Linked DNA regions of Alligator mississippiensis. The protein of the gene in region 2 binds, or shares a complex with, the protein of the main gene of each other region. Links are inferred from orthologs where the notes say so. Each region holds a gene or a part of one and is shown on either strand. Other genes may lie near its edges. The genes, in order: WWC1 and LATS1.

Region 1 (10,494 bases), on a different chromosome or scaffold from region 2:
ATGCAGAAAGCACTTGATGAAGGAAGCTGTTCTCTATGAAAGCTTATGCCTTTTTGAGTGAGTTAGTCTTTAAGGTGCCACCTTGCCTTGCCTTGTACTTGACTTCGGACTAATACAGCTAACTCTCTCTCTCCCCACATAAAATCAGACATCTATGTTCCCCAGATATGTCTGGCCCAATTAGATCTCACAATCATAGTCCTGGCAAGCTGCTCCAATCAGTCTTCCACCTTTTCATACCACTACACCTAGCACATAAAATACAGAAGGAAAATGTACAGATAACTCCCATTCCCAGGGAGCTCAGTTAAGGTGGTTGGGCACCTTCACTCTGTTTTCTGTTTTTTTAGTACTTGGAGTTTTGCTGATCTGGGAGAATAACATAGGTTACCCTTAACTGCATCTATGTTATGATTCTGTATTGAATATAGCAGTGTTGTTGCATTATAGCAGTGATGAATTATAGCACTATGTACATTACTCTAAATCACACATTTGAACATGCAAGCAATTCATCACAGTTATTTGCCTTCCTTTAAGATTTTTTTCTCCCTTTAAATTTCTGTATTCCCTATATTTCTTTTTCCCCTCTTTCATGGTGCTGAGACCCAGCAAAAAAGCCAAGACAAACCTCATACCTGTTTCTGTTTTAACTGGAGCTATAGATCAGTCTGTAGAAAGTACTGACCAACCCTGTTAGAGCAGCAAATCATCATACTTTACATTTCCAAAATACTCCCACATCCAAGCATCTCAGAAGACTAAAGAATTAACTGCTTATCCACACAGCAATTCCTGTTACACAGCTATCCTTCTCACCTACCAGAGACAGAAAACATGATTCATAGATGTTAGGGTCGGAAGGGACCTCAATAGATCATCGAGTCCGACCCCCTGCATAAGCAGGAAAGAGTGCTGGGTCTAGATGACCCCAGCTAGACACTCATCTAACCTCCTCTTGAAAACCCCCAGGGTAGGGGAGAGCACTACCTCCCTTGGGAGCCCGTTCCAGACCTTGGCCACTCGAACTGTGAAGAAGTTCTTCCTAATGTCCAATCTAAATCTGCTCTCTGCTAGCTTGTGGCCATTGTTCCTTGTAAAAAGGCAAAGAGCAAATGGCAATGAGGCAAAGAGCAGTTAAGTTTTAAGTCACATGCTTTAGATAAGCCACCTTCTTCATTTCATAACAACTATGAACGCCTTAAGGACTTTGAAATTCAGGTTGGTTTATAAGGAAAGATCTCATGACACAGAAGACACTTTGCCTGATCCTACCCAGCATCTGAGTCTACTTTCTTGTCTTGTAAATAAATTAGGATGCTTTTTATGACAGAGGTAATAAGATACTTAAACTTTTGCACAAAACTCCCTGTTCTTCAATGAAATGGGATCATTTCAGTTAATGCAGGTGACTCCAGTAGTTCACTTGATTCCTAGAGGATTACTGAACACTTTTTGTTCACCACTTCTCCTTGTAATGGAACATCAAGGAAAACGTTAGCTTTCAACTACATACAGGCACACTTCTGCAATAATTCATTCAACAAGCCTAATTACCACATTGCACATCTAACTGCAAACCCAGCACCAACTATTGTAACAAAAGCATGAGAGACTTAACTTAAGCCCTGAAGCTGTACAACATCCCTATTCATATTTATTTACACTAAATTAAACTAGAAAGAGAGATCTGAGAAAGCTTTAAAAATTGTTTCCTATCTCTAGTTACCACTCGTTGCTTGCTGAATAAATGGAACAGATATTATATGGGCACTGGCAACTTGAAATCTAGCCAGTTTGAAGCCACTCAATTCAAAAAGAGCGAAGTCATATATCTGCCTCCATAACCCCTGCAGTTTTTGGTTTTACAGCCACACTTTTTAATCTTTTTTGCTATATGAAAGACTGCACAAATAAGTTAAACTGATTATATGCAGAGGGCTGTCTATTGCATAAAATTAACTCATTGTTATCTTCTAATACTGCTAATAATGTTATATTCTAGTAAAATAAAGTAAAATAAGCACCAGATTCTACTCACCCCAGGTTTACACTGTGATAACCTAATGGTTTCAGTACTGGGTAGTTGTATAGTGGTTTCAGTAGTGGTAGCTATTCCTGACTCAGGCTGATCATGAATTTCTCAATAAAATAATAGATTTTCATTTGCTGATTTGCTCAAGATGGAACTTTTTGTGGGAGAACAGTAGAACAAGGGGCTTGAACCTTATTTTCCACTGCCCAGGTAAGAGCTCTTATAACTAAGCAGATGTCTTTACTGCATCTCTTTTCTGCCACTCCTCCTCCCAAAAACAGAAACAGTCTTTAAATCTTGAAAAGTTTCACAGAATGTGAAAACAGATTTCCTGCTCAGGAATGAATGAGCATATTCAGATTCAAGGTTTATCCGTACCATGCATGCTATTGAGAAACCTAGATTTCTGTTAACTGTTTTCCACAAAACAATAAAAAACTAGTTACAATTAATAAAACAAACAGTTAATGTTATTGTAGTAGCACAAAACACATACTTAAAATAAGGTATCTGCTTGTAATTGTAACCATTCGTACCATCCCACACTTAGTAAGAGATCAGGACTTGTAGAATCCAGTATTTGTCCTTGCTAATGTTAATGAGTTATTGTCTCTTTAGTTTCATTAGAAGAACTAAGAGTGTTTGGGAAATTTTAGGAATTAAATTAAGCTGGCATAGTTTTCCTCTAACTATTAAGAAAAGCTGGCAGGAATTCTATTATTGGCTGCTTCTCAAGCAAATTACTGAAAGGGAAACCTTAAAATGAATTCCCTACCTCCAACAGATCAGCAGATTACATTTGTGTACAGTATGCACACAAAAGATTACTCCTGGAATGCAGAATGCTTCTTGAAATCCTGTAAAGCTAGGAACTGCATAAAACATTCATTCCCACGGCTAATGAACATTTGGATGATCAGCTGAATAACCTAACTAGAATTAAAAGAATGTGTGGGCATTGGTATCCTGACTTAAATTTTAAAAAATTCAAAGAATCAAGTTGCTGGGGAAAAATAATCCATTTAAAGATTACTGAGCCCAGACCTGTAATCACTGCACAACAAGGAAGATTCCTAAAGATCTCTGCACCACACAACTGTTTTTAAATGACTGTATAACACTTTGTGCAGTTAGACTGGCTTGGATTATGAACTCCTTAAGAATTAGTTCTTTTGTGTTGTAACAAATCAGAAACCTCAGCAGACTGCATGATATTTTAGAAAATTACACTGAATTTTGAAGTTTTAGCATCATGGTACTTGAGGCAGAGTTCTCTTCTTCAGGTGTAGTAGCCATGTAGGTGACTAAAATCTACCAAGACACTTGGTCAGACCTCTTGCTTCGTGGGAAACACTATAATTAAGTTTCAAGGACTTTTCCACAACCTTAGCAAGAAAAATGATGCTGCATTTTTAGTTGTAATTGCTATGCCGAAAAATGATGCACTGCCTTTTCAAACTGAAGTATCTTTTTGAAACTGTACCTAAATCATATACATGGAATGTGCACTTTTAGTCTCAAGGGCATTTAAAAATATTGAGTTCATGTTAAAAATGATCAATAAAAGACAAGTGCACACTTTAGAACTGAGGGGCATGAAAGAAGCAGACAGGTAGTAAAAGTGGACATGGGAATTTGCAGAAGTACACTGTGGGAGATTAATGATTTAGTAAATAATGTATTAATCTAGGTCATGACATTGTTTTGCAGATGAGCCAAAAACCCCACTGAACTTAGATTATTAGTCCCTACTGCCAGTGATTCTCAAGCAGGGTGTCACAGCACTGTGGGATCCTTTTAAGGGCACCACAGGGTGCTGTGCAGTATTAGCACTGTTAGATGCATACATTTCTACATACAATCCAAACAATAAACCCAGAGATTTCACACAGGAATCCATAGTAACGTAAAATAATATTCTGATCTGTTATGGTCTTTCTGAGCTCTTTGCAGCAGAAGAATTATTAAATTATTTTTCTGTAGTAAAAAACCAAGTGAAAGGTAGGAGCTGGCCGTCTCTGAGAAGTCATCAGCATCATCAAAGAGAAGCAGGACTGGAAGAAGATGTCTCAAGTCTAAGTCCAAAAAGACTGAGAACCACTGTCCACAAAGATCACAAAGAGCCTGCTACCATTATACACTGGCCCAGCCCATTCTGAACCTGACTGGGTCTGGGGATTATACCGTGATAGAGAAGTTTGCATATTAAGAGCATGCATTTGAGATCTGCCAGAGCCCTGAAATAACAGCAGGCAGAAGGCACACCTACACGGAGAAAGACCTTTCCTTTCATTGTTTGGGACCGCAACTAGGAATGGCAGGCAAGAATCAAGGCCGGGTTGTGCTAGGCATTGTCCATCACACAAAGCTTTCAGCCTAGGCTTGAGGCAGGACCCAGTGGGCTGGGAGTGGTTATGCTGAATGGAGAAAAAGGAATTCAGCATAAAAATGGAGGACTTTGGCTAACAGCTTGCCTCACCAAACCTAGACAGAAATGATCTGAGTGGCATCCTGGCAGGGGCAGGGAGGAGACAACGAGAAGTAAAAAAAAGGAAGAGAGAGGGAGAATAAGGTGACTTTCTGAATTTTAAATGAGTGTAAAAGGACAATGCAAGAGGTGAGGGAGGTGCACATGACCAGGGGAGTGCTGGTAGCGGCAGGACAGAGCCCAGCGAGCCGCGGGCGAGACCGTCCAAGGGCCTGAATCCAGCCAAGTGCCTCGGTGTCACCAACAGACCAGTGGCCCCGAGCCGCCGCCGCCGACACTGAAAACAAGGCGCTGCGGACTGACAGCCCGGCACCGGCACCAGCACGAGCCCAACGGGACCCGCCTCGGCCCCGCGGGGCGGCATATCCGTCCTTCTCCCAGAAACTTTCCCAAGTCCCACCTGCCCCGGTGAGCCGCAGCGCCCGGGCGGCGCAGTGCGACCTGGGTCCGAGAAGCTGCTGTTCAGGGCGGGGGGGGCACGGCCGAGGCCTGCACCGGCACCGGCACCGGCACCGGCTGGGGGGACGCAAGCCCCCGGCTCCCGCGGCCCGGGGAAGAGCCGAGCGCCCGCGGGCAGGGGCGGGCTCCCCCCTCGGGCTCCTTCCCCCCCGGCCCGGCCCGGCCCGGCCCGGCCGCACCTGTCCCGCGGGTCGACCCAGCTGGTGGTGCGCGTGGCGTGGTCGATGTAGTAGACTTTGCCGTCGTAGTCCCGGGCTTCCTCCCAGCCCGCCGGCAGCGGCAGCTCCTTGCGCGGCATCGTCCGCAGGCGGCCCGCGCCGCCCCATGCAGCGCCCCGGGCTGGGGCTGGGGCTGGGGCAGGAGCAGGGGCCGCGGCCGCTCCGCTCCGCTCACATCCCGCCGTGCCGGGCAGGGCCGGGCCGGGCCGGGGGCGCTGCAAGGGGCGGGCCCGCGGCCGCAGGTGCCGGGGCCGGGGCGGCGCTGTCGGCTCCGGTCACTCCTCCATTTTCCGCTCCGCGGCCTGGAGCGGCTCCGCTCCGTTCCTCCCTCCCTCCCTCCCTGCCCGCCGGGCTCGCTCCTGCCGGGCCCCGCCCGGCTTCACCGCAGCGCCGCGCGCGCCCGGCCAGGTGCCGCTGTAATGCAGGTAATAGCGCGGCCCCCGCAATCCCGCCGCGCGGCGGCTACTGTAAACACGGCAGTAGCGGAGCCAGGCGCCTCCCCCCGCCGCGGGCCGGGCCGCTGGGGGCGCTGCCCGGGGCACCGGCCGGGTCGGGCTGCTCCCGGCACCAGGTGCTCGGGGCGGCCCCCCGGATGCCCCTGCCCTGCAGGGCACGCGCCTAGCGGCGCCCCCGGGCCGCTCCCACGTGCACCTGTCGGCAGGAGAGGACTGACTTCCCCCCGCGTCCCCCTGCCCCAGCGGGGAGGCATCGCACCCGCGGGGGAGGGGCAAGGAAAGGCCTCCCAGGCAGAGCGGGCAGCTTCAGTCATGGGCCAGGGGGGCCGCAGCAGTTTGACTCTTCTGCTCTGGGGTCTCCACCATTAGCCAAGTTTTCAGGCAGAAGCGTTAAGCCTCTCGGATGGTTTTTGCCGACGCTTTTCAGTTATGAGACTTTCAAGGGGGCATCTGTGAGGCTGCACTGAGCAAGAGAGCACGTAGAGGGGAGGGAGGGATACATCCCCGAGTCCCGTTTCTCTCCCTAGGGTGTCTACGACCCTCCTCGTTCTCATGTACGGTGTCAGCTACATGCCTGTAGCACCCACTTCTGGAAGAGAAGTAGCCACCCCCATTCATTCCGGAGACTTACAGCAAAGAACACAAGGGCAAACCTTGCTCTCATTGAAAGTCCTGTGGTGTCTTTAACGCTAATATGAGGATCAATAATGGAGCTGTAAACACAGCAGAGACTTGGATGGATGTTGGACAGCAGAAGAGTACATCTGAGCTGCTTTTAGACACATCACTAGAGTTATTTTAAAACTGATAGGCCACTAAGAGACATCTTAGTTAAATGTTAGTGTGAGGTCAAGTAGAAGGCAGGTTAGATTTGCACCTCATAGACTGACCAAAGCAGATCTATACAGGATAAGTTTGTGAGCTGAAACTTACTTGAATAGTATCTGATGAGTAAGCATTAGCCAACAAAAGCTTCTGCTATATCTACCTACAACGGGGCAGGCAATTAGTTTGGGCAGAGGGCCACTGAGTTTTGGCAAGCCATCGAGGGTCGCGTGACAGGGAGCCCAGGGCAGATAAATATTATTTTTTTTTAATTTAAAAAACGGGCTGGATAGAATGGCCTAGCAGGCCGCACCCGGCCCCCGGGTCGCATTTTGCCCACCCCTGCTCTACAAGGTGCAAACCTACTATTCCACTAAGATGCAGAATGCACAATTCTGGTTGTCATATGTTGCTCAGCTGTATACTGTAGCCCAGCTTGTTCTCCTTTAATGAAGCTTTCAGAAAAAGGAAAAAGTCTCAGGGAAGACCTCCTCAGAAAGCTCTTTCCTCCATTTCCCCCAAGAAAAATGTGCTCCAGGGCCTGCCCTGAACCTAGCAAACTCTCAAGGGTATCTGTGGAGTCAGCGTGGTGCACGTGAAAGACAGCCGTCCCTCTAGTCCACTAGACTTCTTTGTGCATACCAGACAAATACACCTTAACAGCTTATTCAGACTTTCAAAATGCTTTTGAAAGAGTTTCCACAAAGGTTGAGGTCTGTCGTGGATAGGAAACTAAATAGTAGAAATAAACAGACAATTCTCAACATGAGGCAGAGGTTAGTTGTGAGGTATCCCAAGGTTCTGTATGACAACTGATGTTTAGCCCATTTATTAGTGATTGGAAGAGTGTAGAGAAGAGTGAAGTGACAAAGTCTGCCAGGGATAAGAAAGAATAGGATAGTCTAAAATAAAGACAGATATTCCCATATCATCTGACAAGCGACATTCACTGTTAATCTGTTGCTGGTAAAGTACATAAGGAGTAACTGTTTGAACTACTTATACATTTTAGGAAGTTCCAGAGTAACAAGAACTCATGGTAAAACCAGCCCATTTATATGTACAGTATAACAGACGCCTTTGATTAATGTACGAGGTGTACAAAACCCGAGGTGTCGAGAGTTATAAGATATGGGAGGAAAAATACCGGAAGTGTTATGACTTTATAATCAGACTTAGCTGCAATATTGTATTCAGTTCAGCTCTTACTATTGCTAGTGGAAGGGTAGTAAAAATAGTGACAATTCAAAGACAGGCAACAAGAGTTATTAGAAACATGGAAAGCATGTGAAAATACAAAAGTGATCAAAACTATTTGGTTTTAAAGGTAAAACATAGGAGACGTTATGCTGAAACATACAAAATAATACACCATATAGAAAAGGTATGATAGCCCTATAAAAATAAAATATGCTTTTGGTAAGAGAGGACAGTTTATTTTATAGGATACACTTAGAGTAAACCCAGTTCTTTAGATTATTAATTGAAGTTAAACCAAAAACAATACGGTACCTATGTTTTGAAATGCTGCCAGTGATAGCTGCTTCTCTGTAAAGCAGCAACCACATCCTACCAGGTTTTCCTCTCTGATTGGCTGCAGCTCCCCTGAGCTCCCGAGGGAACCATCCTCTGGGTCCATAGGTATCATCCATTATAAGAAAGAACTTCTGCAGTGTAATAAGTGTTAACTGGGTCATGAGGAAACTATACCTGTAAGGGATGACTTCTGGGTCCTCAAAAATTGTGCTGACTGTAACAAATGGTAAACCAGGCACTCTTATTCCCCTTCTCTGATGGTGCAAAAACAAAGGGTAAATCAATGTAAGCAAAAAAAAAAAGCAAAAATATTTAAAACTATTACATTTTTATGCAGAATGTGATTACCCCCCAGAAGTCATTGTTGCAGGATATCTGAGAGGGCAAGAACCTACTAGATATTTTATTACTTGAAAAAAGTGCTCTTAGGTGAGCAGTTTCATAACATCAAAACAAAAAAATCAGGAGCAATTAATATTGTAAAATGACAGGAGAAAGCTGCAAGAAAAAGAAGAGAGAAAGAACACCTATATCATTGAGACAAAAACCACATATTTGTATTTGTACATCAGTTTTGTACATCATATTCGTATATCAGTTTTCCCCAGTAACACATACAACAGTTCCATTTTCAACAGCATTTCCATTTGGAACTTCTATGTTCAATTGCTCATCATTTTCTCACAAGATATGCTTCATAAATACATATGAAATACAGAAAGGTTGACAAATGGCTTTTTTCCAGGTGTCCGACCTGTTTATAATATCTTTGTTCCTTTAATTATTTTTTTAAAGTATCTAGGAAAATATTTCCAAATATTTTAAATGTAAAGTGAAAGACATTTAATTTTGCTTTTCTCTCTCTTTTAACTCCTCAAAAAAGTTTACCTCATTAAAACATATGCATGTACACAGTCAGAAATTTTTGTGTTGTAACTCATTGCCTTTTACACTTGCATTCACAACAAAGGAATTCAGTATTATCACAGTCTATCTGAATTATGAAGTAATAAAAGACCAGGTGATTATGGCCTCATGAGCAAACAAAAGGAAGAGATGATTCATAAGTATGTTTTCACATGCATAAAAGGGAGGGACAGAGTGGGGGATAAGGCAATTGCAATCTCTTTGTTTTGTTTCTCCTTACTGTCATTATGGTGTGTCTGTACATAGAAACTGGCTACTAGAAGTTATTGTGGAATAACCCCTACCACAATAGCTCCCATTTGGACAATGTTTGGGATAAAACTTATTTTATTCCAGAATTACTCAGATTTAGAGATGTACTAATGATTCTGCTATAAATTAAATTCTTATTCTGAAATAGTGTGTCTCCTCATGGGAGATAGTGGGGAATAGACTATTCTGCACTAGCTATTGTGACCAATTCCCCATAGAGAACATGACTGAACTCCATCTGAAGAGGCATGTGCATAACTGCTTAAATTCCTGGTTTATTTTTCAAGCTGTAAGGACTGGATGGGACCCAATGGGATGGGAGACTGGGCTTGCTGTACTGACCCAGTACAGGTAGCCTTTTTCCCTTAGGAGTAGACCAGAGCCTGGGATGCTATCTTTTGAGCACTTTTCCCTTATTTGGTGGAAAATAAATGAGGAAAGTGCAAAAGTAAACACAAAAATGTCTGTTTGGGTTATTAGGTTTAATTATTGTGCATGTCATCATAAACAAGCCAATGAAGCCAAATGGGTCTGAAAATAAGAAAAAAAATAATGTATTCAACTTCTATCAGGGGCCCATGATGTTTTTTTAAGGATAAACTTAAAACTTTACAATTGAAGTAAACACTAAGATTAGTGTTTATTGTCAAAGGGAACTAGTAATATAGGTTCTACTTCCACATATCAAACTTTGTCATATTGGCAACCCCAAGCATTGAAAAATCCTAAGTAAGACATCATAAAGGGATTTTTTTACAAAAATGAATCATGGTTAGTTTCTTGTCTATCACTTGATTTTTGAACAAATACAGTTCACTTGGGTCATGTTCTTAGGCTTTCCTCCACACCCAGGAAGGCCAGAAATTTCCATTTGTTTTAAAACTAAAATTGATTCCCATGTACGTGAATCTTGAAGCTGAAGCTTTAACAAATATATTGCAACTATTGCAAGATTCGGCAGCGCTAAGTCAGCAAGACTGAATGTAGAGGGTCCTGCCTAGACATATCTCTTCCTAGGATATCCCTCCCCTTGATTATCACAGGCTGAAGCCATCCTGAGTACAGCTCCCTCAACATGAGAAGCATTTCAACAATTTTACAATAAGGAAGGCTGGATAGGCATCTGGCTGGGGTCATCTGGCCCCAGCACTCTTTCCTGCCCAGAGCTGGGAGTCGGACTCGATAATCTGTTGAGGTCCCATCTGACCCTAGCACCTGTGAATCTATGAATTTATCCAGTGCGTCCAATCTAGTACGGAAGTAAAACAGAACAGCCACATGCATACAGTCTAATTGTGG
Region 2 (11,053 bases):
TAAAATTAGTAAATCTGAATTGAATATAGAAACTGTTTTTAAAGAAATATTTTCCCAGTGTTTTGTTCAAAAGCGTGATAATAAAGTCATGGATTTTCATTAAATGTTACCAATGAAAACTATAACCTTAGTCTATATGCTTGAGTTATTTATGAAAAATTTTACTTCTTGAATCTGGACCTATAATGTACATGGAAGTTTCAAATCACCTTGTTGGAAACAATATCTTAATATGTTGGTATTACTTAAGATGTACCCAAAGATTTTTTTAAAATGTAAGCAGTAAACCTAATTTTCAAGCACCCAAGCACATACCTCACTAAAGCAAGACATGGTCATTGTAGTGCCTGAATCTGGAGTTAGAAAGAAAATGGAGAAAAATCAAGGGAAAGGAAGGACACAAAGTGACACTTAAGGCCATATATTAAAATAAGAAACATACATGTCCCTTGATGGTTCTTTTATTATTATTCCACTACTCTGAGATTTCAAAACCAAAAAAGGACCACTATGATGATTTAGTGTATTTTCCTATGTAAGGTAAGCCTAAGAACCTCACCCAATATCAGCTGCATCAACCCCTAACCTATTTGAACTAGACCATATTTTGTTAAAAATCTTAAGCCAGTGATGAAGAATCTACCACCTCCCTAAGCAAGCCAATTTCATATCTTAATAGGAGTATAATGAAGCAATATTCACACTAATAATAAAATGCAAGTCTAGCAAAAACTAAAAGCACCATTCTTCCATACCACGGGGGACGTGAGCTCCTGCCACAGTGACCAGATTCTTTGGGTTCCCCCTTCCTCCTCCAGCTTCTACCAACTGGTCCCGCTATTGGCAGCTGGTGGCAGAGTAGGAAAGGGATGGAGTGCCCAGACTGTGTGCACACCAGGGGAGAGTCTGGGCTGTTTTGCACTGCGCACACACAGCAAAAGAGTGAGCTGGATTGCCCTCACTGCAGATGGGCAGTGCATGTGGCAGGGATGGGACCAAGATGTCTGTGTTGCAGGGAAAGGGAGAAAAAGGCTCCCTTCCTGTGTGCGTGGCATGCGGTTCACGTGATTTGCAGCCCATGGCCTGTCCTGTGCCTCAAAAGTTGAACACCCCTGCCTTCAGATGATAAGACAAATTCTGTGATGGGCTTGCATGCTCTTATACCTGAGAGTACTAGAATTCTATATAGTTTTTCTAAAGAGGAAAGGTTAGGTATACCAAGAACCTCTACATGCATTATTCTAAAAATAAGTTTCTGTTTTGATGGAGCTAACACAGAAATAATTAATTCTGTGTGAACACACACAGTCAACTTTTAAAGACTTGTAAAATACAGTTAAGGAAAACCATAATGTGCATGCTACATGGCTAATTTGTGCTGTATATAAGCAGTTTGCTGATATGTGCAACAAGCAAGTCTGGTCACTCTCATGGAGCCATGCCTTGATCAGTGTGCATCTTATAAAGAAAAAATTGTGTAATTCCTGCATCATTGCAGGACAACAAATTCATTCTATGGGCAGCCTAAGGTGCAAAGAACAGTGCACTCTAGTGATGTCTTGCTTTTTTCTTCAAAGCCAATTGGGAGAATGGTAGAAGTGGATATTATAAGCCTTTTTAATTTCTTTATTACACACAAAGGTGACTTGAACAAATAAAAACACTCTGCTAATTTAACTTCCCAGAAAAATCACTGGAAAGTCAAGCTTCATCCGCCTTACTTTGGAGAATCCAGACATTTACAAAGTGCAAACTCACTCCTTCCTTAAAGGACAGGGAAAGGAAAAAAAGGTTCACTCTTATCAAGAATTTGATTTAAACCGATGTGTAAGTTTTATTAAGTGAAATGCTTTCTTTTATTGGACCAACTGCTTGATTGGGAAAGGAGTCCAATAGTCCAATCTGGCCTAGGGGACCAAAGCAGTTTGATATCCCTGCTATAAAATAATGTAATAATTTGATCACTGTCACGCACATGCAAGGACAATTAAGCTTCCCTAGCCAACCTTAACATGGGTCATTCTTAACTAGAAATTTTAACATTAAAAAAAGAGTAGTAGTTGAAGGGAAACATGATTCAACTGAAAGCATGTCATAAATGTGACTTAAAGGATAATTATGCTGAAACAAATTCATTTCTTTAATCATTATTTACCTTAATGTCTTTATCATAGAATCTTAGAGAAGTAGGGCTGGAAGGCACCTCCAGAGGTCATCTAGTCAAGCCCCCTGCCTGAGGCAGGATCAGCCCTATCCAAACTCTCTCATACAAAACATAATCTTAAACCCTACATAATACATGTAAGAAAAATCAAAGGTCTCAATCAACAATGCCAAGAGACATCATCCCTCCCCCCACCACTGCCAATTTATTATTGGCCCAGATAATGGTCAAGGGTTGTTTTTGTACATTCCAGAGATTGCATTAACTGCTTCGCTAATTGGCTATGAAAGAAAATGAGGTGGAGACATACACTAAGAGAACTGAAAAGAATCTCCACATCTAGGAAGATGACATGCAGGGTTTCTCCCCTTATCCAAAGTCATATTAAAAACAAAAAACACACAACAGGCTCAATGGCTCAGCCAATAAGGAGCAACATTTTATTAGTATTTTGGTTACCAGTTAAAATTCAGCCAAATCTAGTAGCAATCAGAAACAATCATAATCTAATGAACAATAGGTAAACTACAAAACCCCCCCAACAGATTCTTTTCACTTCTGATGGATAGATAACCACATCAGAGCACAAACACAAAATTCATTCTTTTATCACACGTTTATCCTTAAACCCCTCACCAAAAAACCTTACAAGGAATTTTCATAACACATTCACATAATCCTGGAATTCCAAAGCAAAAAAAAACAACCTATTTACTCCACGCTTGCATGCTTTTCCATAATTTTCTTTGCTTTGTTAATCAATCAATCACCACCTTGTAACTGAGGCAAACAAACACAACACCCTTAAGATCAGTGGTCAAGCAAATAGGGCACTTAAACAGGAGTCAGGAGCCCTGGAATGTGCTGTTTATTCACCTCTATAGGCTTACAAAGTGACTTTCCTGCTTCAATTTCCCCCTCTACAAAATGAGATGGCTATACATACTTTATTTTGTAAAGGGATCCAAGATCCTTAAACAACAAATGCTGTAAAAAAAGTGCTGGAAATCATTTATTATTCTGTTGGTGGTTTTAACCTTACTGGTCAAAAACTAAGAGGAGCTGGGAACTAAATTGCTTTGAAGCCAATTTAAATTGATGCCTCCAGCTTAACAAAGTACAAGGAAGCAACAACTACTGTCATTGTGTGCGATCTATACATGAGCGGCACATAGGAAACTTCAAGCCCTAAGGCTGCCAATTCATCACCTTTCACAAACATTGAATTTATACACATTTTAAAACAAAAATAAGTTCGCTATGTGGGCAGTACTCCCCATAACTCATGGGAGACTATTGCCCAGGACCAACCCAAATGGAGGAAGGGGGTCTCAACACTTTGAAATCTCATGACAAGAAATGGAAAAGCAGGAGCAGCAGAAATAGCATGTTGGGGACCAAATAAAAAATCCAGTGCCACCCACCCCACCCAGAAACACATGTCCAAGATGCAGCAGAGTCTGTCAATCCCAGACAGGCCTCATCAGCCATCTCTGGACACGCACATAAAACAACCACTGAAGACAATCAACCTTGACTGTGAAGAATTACAGAAGATTTACCCTGAACTTGGAGTGGATGGTGGCCCCACCTGCAGTGTGGCAGGTGACCGTGGTAAATATATTTTCAGATGCATCAATCTCTTACCACACAGTTCTAATACACAGTGACCAGGGTAGAGATATTACCAGATCTATCTATCCCTTTTCACGTAGTTCTCTACCCCTCCATGCGGCTGTATCACTTATCTCCTCTTTGTATTTTAAGGAGACCAAAACCAAGGTAAGCAGCATCTCAGTTTACCAGCCCAAACTTCCAAAAAACATTAGCTGCTCACAGAAGCCTTTACCAGATTCTCGATACACCACAACACACTGGATCGTCAATGCCGCTACTGTCCGAAACAAGAAGACAGGGAGCCTGGATGGCAGTGGCCCAAGGCAGTGGTTCCCACCTTTTTTCATACTGCAGACCAGCATGGGAGCAGGATCGGGCACACTCCCCCTGGGGGCTGCCCCACCGCCCAGCTTTAACCCTGCATGTAACTGCCTGCAGCATAAGCCACTCACCCAGGCAGACAAATGAGGTCGGAGCAAGGGGCTCATACCACAACCCAGCTGCCAACCCTTTGCAGCTTGGTACCGAGGCACAGACCGGTGGTTGGTAACCTCTGGCCCAAGGCCTGCCCTGGATGGCAGCTGCGGGTCGCGTGCCCATACAGCTGCATCTCCTGACAGCAGCAAGGAACCACAAGAACACCCCCAACTTCACAAGGACGTGCCTAAGTTTGCCAGGCGGCACAAGACATTACCGAAGCCGAATAAAAACCTGCTGACGTTTAACCACTGCACAAAACAAAGCAGGCGAAGACAAATATGCAACTGCAGCACCCTCCTCGCTGCCTCTGCAACCCAACTCGGCCCAGAGAGTTCAACGAGACTCCTCACCCCCACCGCCTGCCCATCCCGCTCCAGGCCGGGCGCCCGGGGAAGCACAGCGGAACGGGCCCGCAGCGACTGAGGCCAGGCCCGCCCCCACGGCGATCGCGGCAGCAGGGTCCAGGCCGCCCTAGGGCAGGGGGCGGCGGACCCCGGCTCGCACCCACCTGAGTGGCGGCGGCGGCGCGGCGCCCCGGGCCCGGGCGCGCGGGGAGCGGCGCCGCGTCGGTTGGCGGCGCTGGCGGCTCGTCCCCTCCCCCACCCCCCCGTGGGGCTCAGTTCCGGGCCGCCATCTTGTCGGCGGGTCCGTCGCCGAGGGCTTCCCGGATGTGGCGAGATCCCGGCGTGCCTTGCGCCACCGCCCCTCGGAAAGGAATACTTGCTGCCTTGGCGTTCCGGGCCCGCCTGAGGGGCAGGCCCGCGCGCGGGGGGCGGGGCCGGTGCCCCAGCCCCTCCCCCTCCCGGCTACTTTACGTGCGAACCCTCAGCTCAGGGCGGGTGAAGTTCCTAGGCTGCACCTCACGTGGCAGTAGCCCCAGCACCAGGGCCCTTATCGCCGCAGTGGTTTCATGGCAGTACCATGTGCTGCTGGGGCTTTAGGGGAGCGTAGCGCCTCTCCCTGAAGTCTTCTGCCCCATCATCCCTTCCTCGTTTTATCTTTATTTAGGGCTCCGAGCCTAACGCCGGGCGTTGTTTTACATATTAATTGGGAAATGTTCATAGCTGATTAAATTTTCTCTCTTTTGAATGTGTCATTCATGAATAAACTAGCTTGTGTTGGGTATAAATTAGCTTTCCAAAAGGAACTGGGACCAGGAATAAGGAAGTGGGAGTAGGGAGCCAGCTTCAGCCAGGGTTCAAATTACAGCCCGACTCTTGGCCAGGTGTGGGAAGGAGCAGCCAGGCCAGCCACTGGTGTCAGCTACTTAGAAAGATATAGGGTGAGCCTGGGCTGTCCTCTTAATGGGGGGCAGGGCTCAGCCCCCCCATCTTTAGCCTCATCTCATGCTGCTTCCCAGTGACTTCCTTCTACCATCCAGAGGCAGAACCAGCAGCTCCCAGGCTCCAGCTGCCCATCATGTCCCATAGCTGTTGGGCTGGTACCTGCCACCTCCCAAAAAGGGGATAAAGACTTGTCAACCTTATTTTAGATCTGGGGAAACTGAAGCAGAGACAGTGACTTGCACAAATCACAGTTCTGGGCTTGAGTGCCTGTGCTAGGAGCTGCACATTTTGATTTTGGGCTTGTTAGAGCTCCAGCACTAACCCCCAGCAACACACACAAAAAGAGAGGCAGAAGAGAGGCTAAGAGACTGTCCCTACAGAACCAGACTGAATCAGACTCAAATCCAGAACATGCAGTTTCTGGGGTCTATGTTCTTACCGGTGGTCAAGTTAATTTAGATGTACCATATTTACCCAACTCCAAGATGACTAAGTTTAAGATGTCCCCACTCCCAGTAATTAGATTCTACACATGGAAAATCATAGAATCATAGGTAAGTAGCCCATAAGGGACCTCCAGGGTCTAGTCCAACCCTTGCCTGAAGCAGGATCATCCCTTTCCAAACCTTTATCTAAACTCTATGCAAGCCTACCATCAACCCTGACACAATGCAGACCTAACACCTTAACCTGCCACAGGTAAACTAGGGGAACCACCACAGACAACACCCCGTTTCTATTAAATGCTGTCAATAGATTCTCAAGAAATCCCAGGTAGAGGGCCAGCCCCCCCAGCAAAATTTCATCATAAATTTGTTATGTTTTCCATGCATAGAAAGTAATTAGTGAAAGGTTATTTTGAATTCATCCCTGCCCCCCTGCTGTGACAGGGAAAGCAGCAGACCCCTGCCAGCCCCCACTGACATTCCTCAGTCCCACCCCCACAATCTCTGTGCCCGTTCACCACTTGGCCACCTGCCCATTGCCCTCTGTGCCTATCCCCACTCCCTGCCTTCCCCCGGTAGCCTGCTCTCCCACCTCCCCCAGCCCATGCCTGCTCCCCACCTTTTATCAACTTTTGCAGCTCTGCTCCTCCAGGCCAGAGAAGCAGAGGCAGCTCCAGGTAGGGGCTGGAGGAATTGAAGCCAGAGCAGAAGGTAAGGTAGAGGATGGCAGGTTGCAATTCCCTCCTCACCCACCAATCTCTCCCCTTCACACTCCTCCTGGTAGCAAGCTCCCTCCCCGAAACAACCCATTCCAGCCCAGGGCAGGCAGCAGCTCTGCTCCAGCTTTAACCTCAAGCCTGGGGCCAAAGCCAGAGCTGAGCCATGATCTCCCCTGGGTTGGAACTCAAATCCAAGATGAGGCTCTCTTCTCCCCTCCCCACCATGCTGATTGCAGGAGAGGGGAACCACATCTTAGATTTGAGTAAATATGGTAAAATCTAAAGCACGTGCAGTATGTAACTGACAGATCACAGACTCACCTTTGCAAAGTGATACCCTCGGACTTGAGTTTGCCACCACCTCTGAAAAATTAGGCTATTCAAGCTGCAACAGCTATACCCCAACCCTGCAAGACAGTTAGAACAGACAGACCACTGGTCCTGTAAAGAACCACATCATGGTGGGACATCAGCATGGATGCACAATTCAAAATAGACTTCTATAAATAAATTGTTGATTTAATTACATGCCTCCCTTCCTAACAAAGGCTCGGGACATTGTTACACGTGCTCCAGGAGGTGCAGGTGGCCACTTTAATTAGCCCAAGCATCACGTGTATCAATATCTCCCATGCTGAAAAATGGCGGCTGGGCGCTTTGAACTAAAGCTCATCGCACAAGCTTTAGTTCAAAGCTAGACACTAATATATGTGACACCAGAGTCTGCTAGAGCATGTTTATTTCTGTGCTCCAGCCAACTCTACTAAGTCTGCTCAGATGTGCTGTATTTCCAGCACAAAGCCAGCTCCCTGCACATGTATAGGAGCCCAGGGTGGATTGATCACCTGTAACAACACAAAACTAAGCCAAGAAGATAAATTGCTTGCCCCTCTGTAAGCTGCTTGAAGCACCATCTACTCAAGTTAAGATTATAGTACAAAGTGAAAGGCAGAAAGAATGAGTAAATAGCATTTTGTTAAAAAATATTTATTAAAAACATTAAAGGATTCCTTGCAACAAAAGCTTGCAACATAACACCAGGAAAAAAGCCAAATCAGAAAGCTCTTCAATTGCTGTTTGGCATCATTTAGACTTAGCCTTCCATGATTCTGACAAAAAACAAACAAACCCCTAAGCCTGTTTTTACAGGTGATTTTTTCCTTATACAGAATAGTAATGGTCAGAGCTCTGGCTTCCATGAATTTACAGAAGCATAGCAGGTACAGGCACATCGTGAAAGGTGGGTTTTAAATGTGTCCTTGCAAAGACCACCAGCATTATTTTAAATCAATACAGTTTCATCATATTTAGAACTCTTATAATAGCTTACTCGTGCAAGCTATTTGTCATTTTGCATTTCACTGAACATGAATACTTCAGCTCTCACGCACCAGCTTAAGAATAGGGTTTCTAGTACTGCATAAGATTATTTAAATAAAAATCTCACATTTGAAAAGCATCATCTCTCTTAAAAAAACAAAAAGAAACAGACTGTTAGTTTTGGCCCTTAACAACACTTTGTGCTAATATTAAAATGTAAAAGTATTTTTCACTTAACAGGACCCTCGTGTATTAACTTAAATCTCTTTCCTGGCTGACTGGCTTCCAGTCTGCCAAATAAAGTCAGGCAGTGGAGGAAAAAAAAAATGGAAAGGAGGGCACACTTAAATAACAAGCTAGCTGCCATCCCCTTTAAATTTATGAATAAGCAGAGGGTAGTGGAACAGATCTCAGAAGTGTATTAGCTAACTTGCGCTCTCTCTGCAATACTAGGACCACATTATAGGTCTCAGTACAAAACACTGTTAACAGAGTAACACATTTCATTTTAAAATTAAACTAGAATCCTGAGGACCTCTCCTGAGGAGCTCTTGAGGCATGCAAACTGCTCAGGTGTTCCTCTGAAGTATATTCAAGCAAAAAGTTGCCTCTTGACATAAATAGCTTCCGCATCAGTACCACATACTAGACATGGTCCTAAGACATCCACACTGTTAACAGATAAAGTTGGATTTGGAATTACATTAGTGATCTCCATGCGGTCTTTGGTAGGATCATTGCTTAGCCAGGCACTCACTACAGACTGATTAACATTAGGCTGGTTAACGGCACTATGTGACAGAAATGTACTTCTTCCACCTTAAGAGTGGGGAGAAAGAGAGAAAAAAATTAGCTCATTCTTTGTTTAGCTATGTTCATGATTATGGATGGCATATTACTCATTTATTTCACATGGCAGAATACCAGTTTAAGATTGTACATTTATTTTTGGTTTAAATGGACTTATTCAAGTCTCAAGTAATGGGGGATATCTTTGTTTCACTAAAACAACAAGAATACTTTGTCTTTGCTAGCCTGTTACCAGCAGTTTCTCTAGCTGAATGGACCAGAATATTAACAGAATTGTAAAGAGCCTCCTTAGTGTTGTTATCTAGTAAATAGCTTGGAAATGTGAAATGTTTCTCTAGGAGAGAAACACTTTCACACTAAAGCAAGCCTAGACTCATACAAGAAAACCTGCAAACAGTACTCTATGGTTCTGGCTGCTTCCGATTTGCCTGAAATATTTAACCCTAGCATCCCCTCCTCTTATTTGTTCTGCCCAAAATGATACTCCAGATTTGATTTCATTTCTGCTACAGAAAGAAATGCAGTCACAAATTTAATAGTCAAATTAATATGCAGCACTGTCATTAAAAAATTGAAGACAGACTATGGGCAGCAGCCTATTTAGAAACAAGTGTTTAACCAGCAGTGCTATAAGCCTGCCATGAAATATGTGAATGCTGCTGGATTTATTATTAGCTGTTTCAATTCTTCTCTTCAGAACTGACACCAGAGGGAAGTTTAAGGTGCTACACCTCATAAGAGTACCTGAATACTTCCCCTACTTTTATTTATCTTGATGCTTTGTAACCTGAAATTTCAAGTTTTTAAACACTAAAAGTCAGTATAAAGTCACATTTTGTATCTATAGGAAAGTAGAATTCAGTGTTAAAATACAGATGAAAGAATGCTGAAGGTACTTTTGCAACAAAGTCTGCCCCTGTTACACCTTGGGGAATTATACAATTATGTGCCTGCGCGATTTTGCACATAAAAGGCGTGCCTTCGCATAATTGCATATTTTACACTCCAACTGGGAGCCCCGTGATATGGAAGCACAGAGCTGCACAAGTGGGGAGGGGAGCTCCTGCTTGCATGTGTGGGAGGGGGCGGAGACACATGGGAGTGGGTGGGTACAGACTGCAAGTTATAGGGCCACGTGAACTCCATGCCTCCATGTGGGGCTTCCAGCACTCCAACAGAAAGCCACATGTGGGGGCAAGCAGAAGCCCACCCAGCCCAATAGTGTGTGACTGTACCTCTATGTGCAGCTTCCCACTGGAGTGCTGGAAGCCCCACATGGAGGTCCAGCCAAGCCTAATGGTGCATGGACTGGGAACTGTGCGCAAAGCTGCACATGAAAGCACGGAGTCACACTCCATCAGGCCAGGTGGGCTTCTGCTTGCCTCCATGGGCAGCTTCCCACTGGAGTGCTGGAAGCCCCACACAGAGGCATAGAGTCTGCCTGGCCCACACACTATTGGGCCAGGCCAGTCCTCCATGTGAAGGTTTAAAGTGTTAAATATTTAGTTCAATTTGTAAAAAGTAAATTAATTTTGCATAATTCTAAATTTTCCTGGAGAGTACCATGTTAGTATGCATCTTTTGTCAGAATACCCTTTTATTTTCAATTTCTTTCAACACGCATACAAAAGAGCTCTCCCATTTGCTGCCTTAAAAAATTTTGTCTAGAGGGACAAAAAAAGTTGTACAATTCATATGTCCACTTTGTTGTCTATATTAGTTTGAATTCAGCTCTCCACCATTTCAGTCAGCCTGTTACTATATCCAGTAAATTATGGTCCCCCAAGGCTATGAGCGAGTTTGTGTTAAAAGGACCACAGTTGTTACTCAGAGCCACACTAGCACTTGGAAGTGGATGTACAGCATACCATATTAAACTTTTAATCAGTAGTCAGCTGAAATGGCACCCAATTAAGTGCAACTTTATCATGCTTTATATAATTCAAGTGCCTTTAAAGAATCTAGCTGAAGGTAGGCCAGGGTGGCACTTGAGCATAATTGGCTCAGACATGAGCTTCTGTACTCAAACTACTTCACAAGATGCTATGAATGGACTTTAGGTAGTGACATGGCATTTATTTAAACAATTTAGGAAGGGATATGGTATCTATTGTTCTTCAACACAGAGTTCCTTATCTTTGGCTTCCTGCAGGGAAGACAAGGTCTAACAGTAACAAACTGCTGGAAGACTGTTTTAGACAGGACATAAGG

The links.
Region 1: the proteins of LATS1 (region 2) and WWC1 are in contact, whole or in part, in a crystal structure (PDB 6J68), measured with the Mus musculus proteins. The link is inferred for Alligator mississippiensis from reciprocal best matches to the Homo sapiens genes LATS1 and WWC1. Residues at the interface, in NP_034820.1 of Mus musculus: Ala546, Glu547, Ala548, Pro549, Ser550, Tyr551, Gly553, Pro554, Pro555, Pro556, Pro557, Tyr558, Leu562, Leu563; in NP_740749.1 of Mus musculus: Asp17, Tyr23, Ile25, Asp26, His27, Arg30, Thr31, Thr32, Ser33, Trp34, Asp64, Val67, Tyr70, Ile72, Asp73, His74, Lys77, Thr78, Thr79, Gln80, Ile81.

The regions. Positions count from the first base shown.
Region 1 is NC_081832.1:52,215,258-52,225,751, forward strand, and holds the start of WWC1 (protein KIBRA), read right to left. Parts: upstream 5,456-10,494; 5' UTR 5,281-5,455; coding exon 5,162-5,280; intron 1-5,161. UniProt on the Homo sapiens protein: Regulator of the Hippo signaling pathway, also known as the Salvador-Warts-Hippo (SWH) pathway.
Region 2 is NC_081824.1:128,988,158-128,999,210, forward strand, and holds the start of LATS1 (serine/threonine-protein kinase LATS1), read right to left. Parts: upstream 4,896-11,053; 5' UTR 4,770-4,895; intron 1-4,769. Other genes in the region: nucleoporin Nup43, read right to left, coding at 8,625-8,851. UniProt on the Homo sapiens protein: Negative regulator of YAP1 in the Hippo signaling pathway that plays a pivotal role in organ size control and tumor suppression by restricting proliferation and promoting apoptosis.